Linked DNA regions of Arabidopsis thaliana. The protein of the gene in region 2 interacts with the protein of the main gene of each other region in a biochemical or structural test. Each region holds a gene or a part of one and is shown on either strand. Other genes may lie near its edges.

What was found.
Region 1: the proteins of CDKC2 (region 2) and CYCT1;3 form a complex in vitro, tested with the Arabidopsis thaliana proteins (one study listed by BioGRID).

The regions. Positions count from the first base shown.
Region 1 is NC_003070.9:9,609,230-9,615,134, reverse strand, and holds CYCT1;3 (cyclin T 1;3), read right to left. Parts: upstream 4,083-5,905; 5' UTR 3,925-4,082; intron 3,656-3,924; exon of another isoform or gene 3,587-3,655; 5' UTR 3,489-3,586; coding exon 3,259-3,488; exon of another isoform or gene 2,546-3,258; coding exon 2,464-2,545; intron 2,210-2,463; coding exon 2,075-2,209; intron 1,994-2,074; coding exon 1,821-1,993; intron 1,744-1,820; coding exon 1,598-1,743; intron 1,515-1,597; coding exon of another isoform or gene 1,435-1,514; exon of another isoform or gene 1,356-1,434; coding exon 1,168-1,355; 3' UTR 799-1,167; downstream 1-798. Other genes in the region: AT1G27640 (uncharacterized protein), read left to right, coding at 229-672; AT1G27620 (HXXXD-type acyl-transferase family protein), read right to left, coding at 4,703-5,611.
Region 2 is NC_003076.8:25,953,793-25,959,763, reverse strand, and holds CDKC2 (cyclin dependent kinase group C2), read right to left. Parts: upstream 4,391-5,971; 5' UTR 4,268-4,390; coding exon 4,155-4,267; intron 3,759-4,154; coding exon 3,677-3,758; exon of another isoform or gene 3,615-3,676; coding exon of another isoform or gene 3,579-3,614; coding exon 3,488-3,578; intron 3,383-3,487; coding exon 3,353-3,382; intron 3,240-3,352; coding exon 3,130-3,239; intron 3,039-3,129; coding exon 2,966-3,038; intron 2,884-2,965; coding exon 2,763-2,883; intron 2,656-2,762; coding exon 2,538-2,655; intron 2,440-2,537; coding exon 2,300-2,439; intron 2,207-2,299; coding exon 2,149-2,206; intron 2,066-2,148; coding exon 1,995-2,065; intron 1,872-1,994; coding exon 1,337-1,871; 3' UTR 959-1,336; coding exon of another isoform or gene 881-958; 3' UTR 873-880; intron 798-872; downstream 1-797. Other genes in the region: AT5G64970 (Mitochondrial substrate carrier family protein), read left to right, coding at 1-236, 324-791, 881-958; AT5G64950 (Mitochondrial transcription termination factor family protein), read right to left, coding at 4,702-5,877.

The DNA.
Region 1 (5,905 bases), on a different chromosome or scaffold from region 2:
GAGTTTAAGAAATCAGTCATTGAACAAGATATTTAGCAACATATAGACATAAATTGAAAAGAGATTGGTAGATATCAAAAACATCAACAAGAAACTAAATTATGTTACGAAAGCGAAAAGATTGAGCAACTATTGAAGATAAAAGGCAGAGATCTTAGTCAGCTATTGAATTCAATGGAAAAAAGAACAAAGAATCACACATAGATATAACCAAATAACCAGAGACATATGGATATAAAATCGGAAACAGAGCAATACAAAAGAAAAGCAGAGATAGAGAAACACACAAAGGAGCCAAATAAACACAGAGACGAAGCAGTGCTCCAAAATAGAGCTGGGAGGCACAGAGACCGAGCCGTAATAGATCACAAAAGCGAAGAAAGAGAGAGAGAAAGCGTACAGAATGTTACAGAGATGAGTGGGATTGAGAGATCTGAGGGTGAGTGGTCGCCGCCGGTGGAAGGAATTACCGACGAGGAGCTGCCGTCTCACTCGCCGATGGATGATCTAGGGTTTGCTTTGTTCGCGAGTTGGGGGAGAAAGACAGAGAGACAGAGAATGGGATCTCCTGACATAAGGATTTATATTTTTAATCCGATAAAAAAGATAATAATAATGGAAACTAGAATCCGGTTTGGTCTAGAATGGAAACCAAGCGGTTTTGGTTCTTGACCGGTTTATACGATCGGTATAAGCTAGGTGTAGTTAATTGAACCGGTTAATTACTTATCCGATCGGTATAAGCTTGATCATATGATGATTGTGTTCGTCTCAAGTCTCAACTCAACACAGACCTAATAGCACTTCATCAAAAACCAAATTACTTAACAATGAGAGAATTAGTCAAAATCAAAACAACTTTAAACTTTTTAAAGAAACCAAAAACATAGATTCCAGATATACAAACGATATAAAGTCAGCTAGTATTATAACATGTGAATGGGACACTTCTATACATAATCTCTCTCTATCGAGAACAGAGACCAAGAATCTCGAGAGAATCCACTTTGGTCATACATGAGACGCTTAACTTAGACAGAAGCACCTCACTCGGATCTCTATATAATGCTACACTGCCTCTCTCATGAGTCTCTACGGAAATCTTTTATTGCTAAACCAACTCAAGACTCTAAGAGAGATTACATCTTCATGCTGCTCAACAATGGCTCACCAGATGCCAGCCTGTCTATAGGACTGCAAAGGGTAGCTGTGAAACGGATAAGCTCTAGCCATATGGACCGGCTTTACGGCTGCAGGTATTGCCCAACTTAACTCTCTTCTTGGAGGTGGAGGTGGAGGTGGCATATTCCTCCTTCTGTCCACTTCTATCAGTGTGCACATCTCCTGGATTACCTCTGTCACCATAATGAAAACATCCAATTATTTTTAATCAACCGCTAAAATCAATAGCAGCACATCTCTTCGTTCAGGCCACTACCTAATTCCAAACTCAATATGTGCACAGGGTAAGAACCTAACATGAGCTGGAGCTACAGTACCACATATTCCTAGCGCTAACATTATAGAAACACTACATCTCACTTGATCAAATGACTGCAATAATACCAGAGGAAAAAATAGAGTTTGAACAGCAAACCTTTTAATAGCTTAGTTGTAACTCCAAACTCCAACCACCAATCTCTCCTGCTGCCTACTTTCGCATTCTGAAACGTAGCAGCTAGGTGCACAGTGGCTGTTGCAATAACATGGGGTTTGTACTGCAAGCATAGTGTGGTTCGAATCCTACACACAATGCATAATAAGATTCAAACTCAATGTAGGGGAAAAATCGGGCAGATATTATTAACAAGGGTCTTTACCAGTCATGCACAAAATTCCATGCAGCTGTTGCAAGGTCAGGCCAAGCGTTCAGTCTATTCAAAGCCGCAGCCAGAGGTTTGTAGGGAAGTTCAATGTCTAAATGGAAAGCACTTGTGCTCAGCAGAAGACTTTCCCCGGACAAAATAATTTCTTTAAATTCATGATAACACTCCTACAGGCAGAGCAACATGTAATAAATTAGCAAAATGCACAGTGCGAATTTACCAATACATAGATGTATGTATACACTTACAGTTTGATGGATTCTAATTGAGGCAGAAGGATCCCACTCATAAATTATTTCATAAGACGCTACAACGACACTGGACAGTTGACATGGCTCATCTTCAGCTTTGCAAGCGAGGAACAGACTGGAAGTCGCTATTGTCTGCAAAATCACCGAGTGAGAAACCGAAGTGGAAATATTTAGCAGCAATCATATACACTTCTAATTAACCAGGAAGACTGAATAACTATTAAATAACCACTTTTGACTTGTTTTCATCAACATTATATTGCTCATAACCCAAATTTTGTAAGAAGAATCAATATATCTGTTGCAGACTATTCAATCATTAATATTTACATGTCAGCTCCAATGAACGCAATTGATGAACCATATGAATACTAAAGCATTCTTACCTGCCAGTCATTTTTTGCATGAGATTGGCGCATGTAAAACCTGTGGCACATCACCATTGCACATGATATTGTAACCTGGGACCTGAAGCAATGAGATTGTCAAAAACCTTTAACATGAACAAGGTCAATGTTATGATATCTCGGGCAGCAACTAATAGCTAGACATCACTTTCACCGAAACCAGCATTTATAAACTTTTCCGACACACGTGAGTAATGCAGAAGACAAAAATACACCAGTACCTATGATTAGATGATTCAAAAAAGTAGGCCGGAGAGAGACGTGCACTTGCTCAGAAAACTAAGAACATCAGTTGGTAAAGGTAGGAACACAGCTGAGGGTTTTGATAACCCAGCAGAGAATTACAAATACAAAGACATATAGATCAGAAGGTCATGTCTAAACAGGTGAACAGCTCCCAAGCAAATTCACAACAGATGCAAATCCTCCCATTGCCGATGAGAAGTGACAAGTGAGTCAATATATGATGCATGGACACCAAATTCTGACTATTATTACATAATTCTTCCATTCACGAGATATAAATGTAGACAAAATCGAGAATCTATAGTTGGAGAACCTCCAGACCACCTCCCACAGTGGCCCTACGACAAAATTCAACAGTTAGGCTATCCATTGTCATGCATTAGGCACCCTCTTTAGCTAAAAAAACGTACCAAGAAATATCAGAAGACAAGGAGACGTCATAAGTAGATTTTCTAGCAAACAACCAAAGAACAAACACTATTTCTTCCTAGATGACAAAACAACAAAGTAATACTATGGTGAGCTTACACATGAAGCTTCATGCCAAGTCTTTGCAGGAAGGTGCAATACGAAGACCGTAAAAACGACTCCTTCACAAGATCAATCCCATCTTTTCTGGATGGAGAGAAACGCTCAATCTCTTCCCTGCTGAAATACCACTTGGAGGTTTCGCATTGAGGGGATTCAAACAACGATACGTTTCTCGCCTCCGCTTCAAAATGTTGTCTAGACCGCTTTCTCGGATGCTCCTCTCCCATTGTAAATCTTCTTCCGCCAAACAATTAACCAAAAAAGTTTCAATCTTTGAACTAACAAGACAAGTCCCAATTTAGCTGCAGATTTTGCTGACAAATATCTGCAAATAGCAAACACAGATTCATTGTTAAATAGCTTTGGGACATAATACGACACAAATCTGATCTCAGCTTCACATATATATTTTTTGACCCATTATCGCAACATCAAGAAATTTCCAACAGATTCTATCAAATCACGAAATATTAAAATCGAGGAGGCGATTAAATTAAATTCACGAAATCTGCAGAAAACAGATCGAATAATTACGAAACGTGAAGGAGGTAAAGGATTAGAGGAGCCGATTGATTCAAGAGATGAGATCAGAGGACAACGAAATCGACTCTAACAAAGGAAGGATTAACGAAATTGGATAGCAAAATTTGAGATTTCACTAACCCAAATTTTGCTTGGTGAGGGAAAAGCTCTTTGAAACTTGAAAATTTTCTCTGCTGCTTTATGTTTGTCTGAAACTTGGGGAAAAGATCTATTGCGGTGTTGCGACCTAAAAAAGATAAATATCTAACTCTATTTATAAAATGGATATGGGCTTTGACTTTATGATTGTAAGCAATTCATCATATTCGATAATGGATATGGGCTTCGAATTAATATATAGTGTCGTTTTTTATGTGGTTGAGATTGAAATGATCAAACTACATAGAAATAGTCTTAACATTATTTGAACTTTTGCAGAAAATAACACTTTAACCAATATATTAGCATTTAGCAATTTGAATCATTGTTAAATTTTTTATTTTCATAAAGCTATAATCTGATAGAGATTACCAAAATTGGATATATATTAATATTTATTTGAATTTTGGCTTCGATTTAAGAACCGTACGTTAAGCTAAAGTTGATGAACTAAACTAAAACATGTATTCCTTTGAATTCATCGATCAGTCAATATCATTATCATACTAGCATGGAGAAAGACTGTTTTTAAACTCATCATATTATCCATTTTGTGTTTAATAAAAACCAATCAAAAATCGACAAGTGAGCTACTCTAGTACTCTCTTTAATTAGTCTTTATTGGGGTTCATATGTCTATTTTCTGTTTTCAAACTTATATATAAGAAAATATTTCGTACATAAAACATATTAAAACCAATCAAAAATCGACAAGTGAAGTACTCTTTTATTATAGACCACTGAAATGTATATAGAAACTTTAGCATGCACGAGAATTCTCATCTTCGTTATCTTTTCCGTCTAAAAACTTAACCATGCAATACTCTAGTCTCTTCACAACTTCCTCCGGCAGGGACATTTGAACTCTGATGGCATCATTATCGCTCGCCACGGGTAAAAATAAACAGTAGATATCACTCGTCAAAGGACCCATATACATTGGCTTTCCTCCTCCCAAGTCCAACTCCTCTAATCCCAATTTCGCCCATTGTGAAATGACCAAACTGCACGAGACGTCCGTTTTCACCGTTTTATCCTCCAGTAAATCTATCGTTGATCTTACATATTCGTCGGTAATTCTTGATTTTGCCTCTTGTATCGATTTTACAGCGTGGTAAATATTACCATTGACTAGGTCTTGTACCTTGCTCTCGGCGCAAGCTAGTACGAATCCATTACCGTAATACCCTTGGGGAAGTTCTGGAGTTAGTCGTTTTCTCATATTGACTGAGAATAAGAGTTTGACCAGCATGGTCATTGGTAAATCTAGAGATTGAGCCCACGAGCGCCAAGTGTTAGCCGCTAGTGCCTCGAACGTGGTGCATTTTAGCGAAGGAGCGCAGGTTTTCTTTAAGCGTAGGAGATGAGATTGGTTGAAGGTTAAGGTGGCAGGAGCCAATGGTTGGGACTGTAAATACTTGGAAATGTCGAAGGTGGAGCTTTTGTCTACGGTGGTGGTTCGGGTGAAACCGGGATGTGAGTGTGTGACACGTGGAGGGTTTCGCGGATCTAATACGTGACGGGAGTGGAATGGTCGGGTCGGAAGATGAGCTTGGCTAGTGGTCGCATGGGCCCATGCATGTAGGAACTGCGATGTGCCAATGCCGTCGCAGAGGCAATGATTGATCGCGGTGCAGAGGATCATACCCCCACAACGGAGATACGTCACCTGAGGCATTAATATTCGTAAGATATCAAAATGTCGATTTATTATTACATTCGACTAGCTTTCAAGCGTTAATAATCAAACTTGCTGATACTTTATACGTAAGTTCATAGAAACGCAGTTTTAATAAAACACATAACATGAGTTGAACAAAACGACTTATAGAATGAACTAATTCAATGCAAGAAAAAAAGGGTTTTGTTTTTCGTGTAAACGAGAAAAGAAAAAGAGTATGATTGAACAGACAAATTATTCTCTATGCGCCCTTCTTTTTCTTCCATATAATCTCTTTATTAA
Region 2 (5,971 bases):
TTGAACTCATTCAGAGGATTGCAACAAATGAAGGGATTAGAGGATTTTGGAAAGGGAATTTGGTTAATATTCTCAGAACTGCTCCCTTTAAGTCCATCAACTTCTATGCATATGATACATATAGAGGTCAGCTTCTGAAATTGTCCGGGAATGAAGAAACGACAAATTTCGAGAGGTTTGTTGCTGGTGCAGCTGCCGGAGTAACAGCTAGTTTGCTTTGTCTACCACTTGATACTGTAAGTGGAATCACAACAAAAACTTCATTGAGCTTCTTTTACCATTCTCTGGAGGTTCTTTAGCATTACTTTGGTTTTGAATTGCAGATAAGAACGGTTATGGTGGCACCCGGTGGAGAAGCATTAGGTGGTGTAGTTGGTGCATTCCGTCACATGATTCAAACTGAAGGTTTCTTTTCCCTATACAAAGGTCTTGTACCTTCACTTGTTAGTATGGCTCCATCGGGAGCTGTGTTCTACGGTGTCTATGATATTTTAAAATCAGCTTACCTTCATACACCGGAAGGTAAGAAACGGCTTGAACACATGAAGCAAGAAGGTGAAGAACTTAATGCTTTCGATCAACTCGAGCTTGGTCCCATGAGAACTTTGTTATATGGAGCAATCGCAGGGGCTTGCTCAGAAGCAGCAACATATCCGTTTGAAGTTGTGAGAAGGCGTTTACAAATGCAGTCACATGCTAAAAGGTTAAGCGCAGTGGCTACTTGTGTGAAGATCATTGAACAAGGAGGTGTTCCTGCTCTATATGCTGGCTTGATTCCCAGCTTATTGCAGGTTTGATTCCTTAATACTAGTCATAAATTAATCTCTTGAACCAGCTTATTGCAGGTTTTACAGCTTTGTGAATTATCTCACTATTGCAGGTTTTGCCTTCCGCGGCAATCAGTTACTTTGTTTACGAGTTCATGAAAGTTGTTCTGAAAGTAGAATCATCCGCATAAGACAATAAGCAATGAGAAATGACACAATTACTGCTGGAGCTGCTTCAGAGGAGAGTTTTTTCGTTTTCTTTTTGGGGTTTACACTGATTCGTGTAGTTTTTCCACACTTCATCGAAAACAGATAAGAGGTTGTGAAACGTTTTTTTGCAAGAAATAATAAGATTTGGGTAAAAATCCAATTTGGTTTCCTGTGTTCTGATATATAAACCTTGATTTAAACATACAACAATCACAGAATGTTTGGAAGAATGCCATTAAGACAAGAAATCAAATGAAAATAGATTCTCTTTCGCGAAGATAAGTCTTCATATCTAAAATCACAACTGCCTTAAAGACATCAAGCCAAGACCACACCATACGAGTCTCTTTGAGTTCTCTTTACGGTTGCCATCCATATTGTTGGTTTCTAGCACCACCCATAGGGTTCTGACCTCTTCCAGAGCCACCAGATCCACCATACTGACCACCACCTTGTGAGTAGTTGGGTGGTCCAACACCATAGCCACCGCTAGGTCCTCTAGGACCGGCGCCATATGGTGCACCACGACCTTGTGGAGGATATGCTCCGCTGCTGTAACCTCCACGGCTCTGATTATTATAACCACCAGTCTGGTTTCCGCTAGGAGGGTACCGGTTTGGAACAGGTGCACCACCACGGGGCTTTCCTCCATAGTAATGGCCACCAGCAGGTATTTGGGGTGGTGGTGCGTTGTTGTTCATAGGGTGGTTTGGTCCAGCAGGCCAAAGTGGAGCGGCATGAGACTGGCCAACACCGTGTTGCTGTGGAGGTAAACGAGAATGTTGCTGCTGTGGATGCTGCAGTTTCTGTTTTTTGGCTGCTTCCTCATTATGACGCATCTGTTGCCGTTTTTTCTTTGTCTGGAACTCATGTGATGATTCATATGTCGGTAGACTGTTGACATAACACAGTTTCAGTACAAGCTGAATCACTCACTAATTGTTCTTGATCGTCATTTGTGATGTATGATGAACCAAATGGGTTTTCATAACAAGAAAGTTAAGAGAATTTGATTACCTCTTTGGATCACATGGCAGCGGATCAGTCCAAAAGTACTCAGCATCAAGAGCATCCTTTGCGCATATTCTCTGTACCAACAGACAGGAAAATGAAAGGACTTAAATGTCTAGACCAAGGCTCTTAATTCTCTGTATTAAAAATTCTTTGGTACCTGAGATGGGTCAAGTACCAACATTTTCTCAAGTAGTTCAAGGGCATGGCGATCAAAGCTATAGCAGAAGAGAAAAGGACCAAATGAGATCTCCTGGATCAAAGTAACTGTTGCATAAAAGAGTCGCAACTACATAATGGTTTATACTTACTGTCTGTAGATCTCCCTTACGCGTCTCTTTAAGGGCCGAGATGATTTCATTTGGTTATACCAAGGCATCTTGGAAACTCCAGGCCAGTTGCTTTCATCAGGTGATCCACAAAGCTCATAAATCTTATTCAATTGTTCATTCTGGAAAGAAAAAAATATGACTAAAACGCTAAGTGGAAACATCATCAAAGAACACTGTAATAACACACACCACGATAATCATAAGATGAAATCCTGACCTCAGTTTTCCCAGGCAAGATTGGTTTTCCATTCAAAAGTTCAGCAAATATGCATCCAACTGACCACATGTCAATCGCTGGTCCATATTTAGTTGCACCAAGTAACAATTCAGGGGGCCTACAGCAATAAACAATGCATAAGTAGAGAAAAAGCTGCACGTATAAGCAATACTTATTCTTTGTCACTTTTTTGTATATAACTTCAAAGTTTGTAGGCATACATACCTATACCACAAAGTGATGACACGATTTGTGAGGTTTCCAGTATGATCATGAGAATATGACCGAGCAAGCCCAAAATCCGCTAGCTTTAAATTTCCCTCATTGTCAATAAGTAGATTCGAACCTGCACCAATATATTATAGGTTAACTAGCAAATAAAGACAAGAGAACAAAATGGTCAACAATGTATTTTGGGATATATTCACCTTTTATATCACGGTGAAGCACTTGATTCACATGACAATAGTGAAGCCCAGTCAGCAGTTGCTTCATGTAACACTTTTTTACATATGTTCAAATGTCAGACAAAGTCGGAACAATAAGGGTTTTTGCAAAGGCTACTACAACAAGGTGTCTAGCCATGCAATACCTTTATCTGAGGAACCGTAAATCTCAGTCCAGGACGATCAGCAAGTCCAGTCAAGTCATGATCCATGTACTCAAAGACCATGTAGATTCCACCCTTGTATTTGTTATTATCTAAAATTGAAGAAAAGCAACAAGCTTTAGGCCGTAAGCAGTTTAAATAGATCTCTCATAGTCGCATCTAAGTTGTACAGAAAATATTTCGATCTTGAATAAGTTTCACTAACCTGGCTTTCCTTGATCATCCCTATCTCGACCTTTTAAAGACAAAAACAGTCACAAAACTCTACATATCAAACTTAACACCCCTTTTGACAAAATTTCTAAAGCAATTACAAGCTAAGATAAGAGTTCCTTATTACCTGGAGAAGTAACAATCTCTTTCAAATGGATGACATTTTCATGATGCAGCTTCTTCAGAATTTTGATCTCCCGGATAGCGGTTATCGGAAACTCCATGCAAACAATGAAAACGGAAATATAAGTCATACGAAACTCACAAAAATTTGCAACTTGTCAAAGCTAGTACTGGTAGTTCAAATGTAGCTTACCCCTTCTCTTTCATTGTCCATACGGATCTTTTTCAGAGCCACGATTTCACCAGTTTTAATTTCTTTAGCCATGTACACTTGGCTGCAAAACCAAATTTTAATATATGAATCTAAACACCATCAAAAGAGACAGCTTCAGAAGTTTATTGCAACATATATATATATATATATATATATATATATATATATATATCTACCATACCAAGAATCTGAGAATTCCCAAATTCAATCAACAAAATCGAATTTATTGAGATAAGAGGCAAAGTTAAAATTCCTCAAATCAACAATATATGGATCAATAACTATATATAAACGTTTCACAATCAAAATTGTTTCAAAAAAACTTATATATCAAGTGGCCCTAGCGAAATCGTTCAAATTTGAGAAATTTCAGTCTTGAGCACGAGTACTCTGACAAAACCAAATAAATTGGAATCAAGGAACAAAACCCAGAAAAAAAAAGAATGGAGAAGAATACCCGTAAGTTCCTTCACCAATCTGTTCAAGCTTCTCGAAGCAATCGACACTACGAGATCCCCAAATCGGTGGAGGCTCCTCTAGATTTAACTGCCCAAAAGCCGCAGCCGCCATTATTCAACCGAATCTGAAAATTACCGAAGAATTCTGCAGCTTCGCCCTTGTCGCTCCTCTTCTCGCCTTCTTCTCTCCGGCTATTCTAAGGTTTTAGCCCTACCTTACAGTGTCGGCTTCGCGGAAAAACCTAAGCTTTTTTATCCGGAATCAATCTCTGGTTTAAACCGGTTATTACAACGAACCAAAATCAAACCGGTTAAATTCATGAGTCAAATTTTTAAGACGCTTTGACAATCTTGAGTTTTTGCTCAAGTGCTGAAATAGAAAAAGAATCGCTTCATATGAATCCCATTATTATATGAGAAGCTTCAAGCTCGTAATAAAGGGTGATTTAAGAGTTACTTCCAAATTATAATGTTCAACACAGTTACGGATGAGCGAAGTTTGGATACAATGACAAAATTTCAAGTTTGGACTTGTGAAATCTACAATTAGATCTTGATACGATCAAGTAGCGTTTCATCGACTAAACACACGCACTTGTAAGCAACCAGCAGTTCCTCAGCAATCTCATCTCCAAATCTCACAACATATTTCTCTAGAAAAGCTTCCTCAGTCATCTCAACAATGCCAACCATGTTCTTCTTCTTCTTCTCCTCTTTTAACAACAACCCTTTTTCCCTCAAGATCTGCAAAACTTTAAGCCTAGGAATCACCCTCTTCTCAAGATTATACGACAACACACAAGGACGTTTCGCCAAAGCTTCCCTCTCTAACCCCATTCTCTTCAAGTAAAACTCAAACCCCAGTGTAAGCTTATCTTCTGAGCACCGGATCAAACCTGGAGATCTTCGTATAATATCTGTTATCTCATCTTCAGAGAATCCATTAGCCATAAACAACTTAACCTTTCGATCAAACGTTTTCTCGCTCAAAGAACTTAACGAGATAACAGCGTGCACAAGCATCCTCGAGTTCAAAGTAAAACCAAGATCCAAAGCACGAGAGACATATCCTCTGAGTTTTTCCTCAGAGAGATTGAAGATTCTTGGCTGTCTTCTAAGTAAAGAAGCAAGCTGAGACCCAACAATTCCACAGGTTTCAAGGTATGAGATGTTTGGTAAGAGAAACAAGTTAGGGTCTCTACTGAGAAGAAGCCAACCACATCTACTAAGAATGACAGGAAGGTCTTCATGTTTTGGGGCAACAATCGATTTCAGAATCTCAACGGTAGGAATCAATTTCTTCACTAGACTTACACCAACGACTGATGAGTTTTGAGAGACGAACTTACCAAGACCAGAGCCAGTAAATCCAATATCTTTAAAGAATCGAAGTTTGGGTTCTAGAATTTTCTCCACGTTGTAGAACATCATTCGAGGATGGACCCGGATCGATTTCTGGATCTGGGTATCGGAAAAACTGTAACTTTTAAGCATTTGAATCACTGACCGAGGTTGTTCTAGGGATTTGAGGTTAGGGTAACGCATTGCGATGGCAATTGCTAGAGGTTTCTGGAACCCATTGTCCCTGAGAAACTCGACGAACGCTGGATTTGATATCGAAGCTGGTGTCGCATTCGAAGAGAAATGATGCAACGAGAGAGCTCGATCCCATCTCCGACCAAACTTTCTGGAATTGGAAACGAGAGAAGCTAGAAATTGCATCTTGGAAACGAAAGTTTAGGGTTTTACCAAAGCTTATTATTTTGTACAGTTAAGAATCATTCATGACTTTTCAACTATGGTTTCTATTTGATAA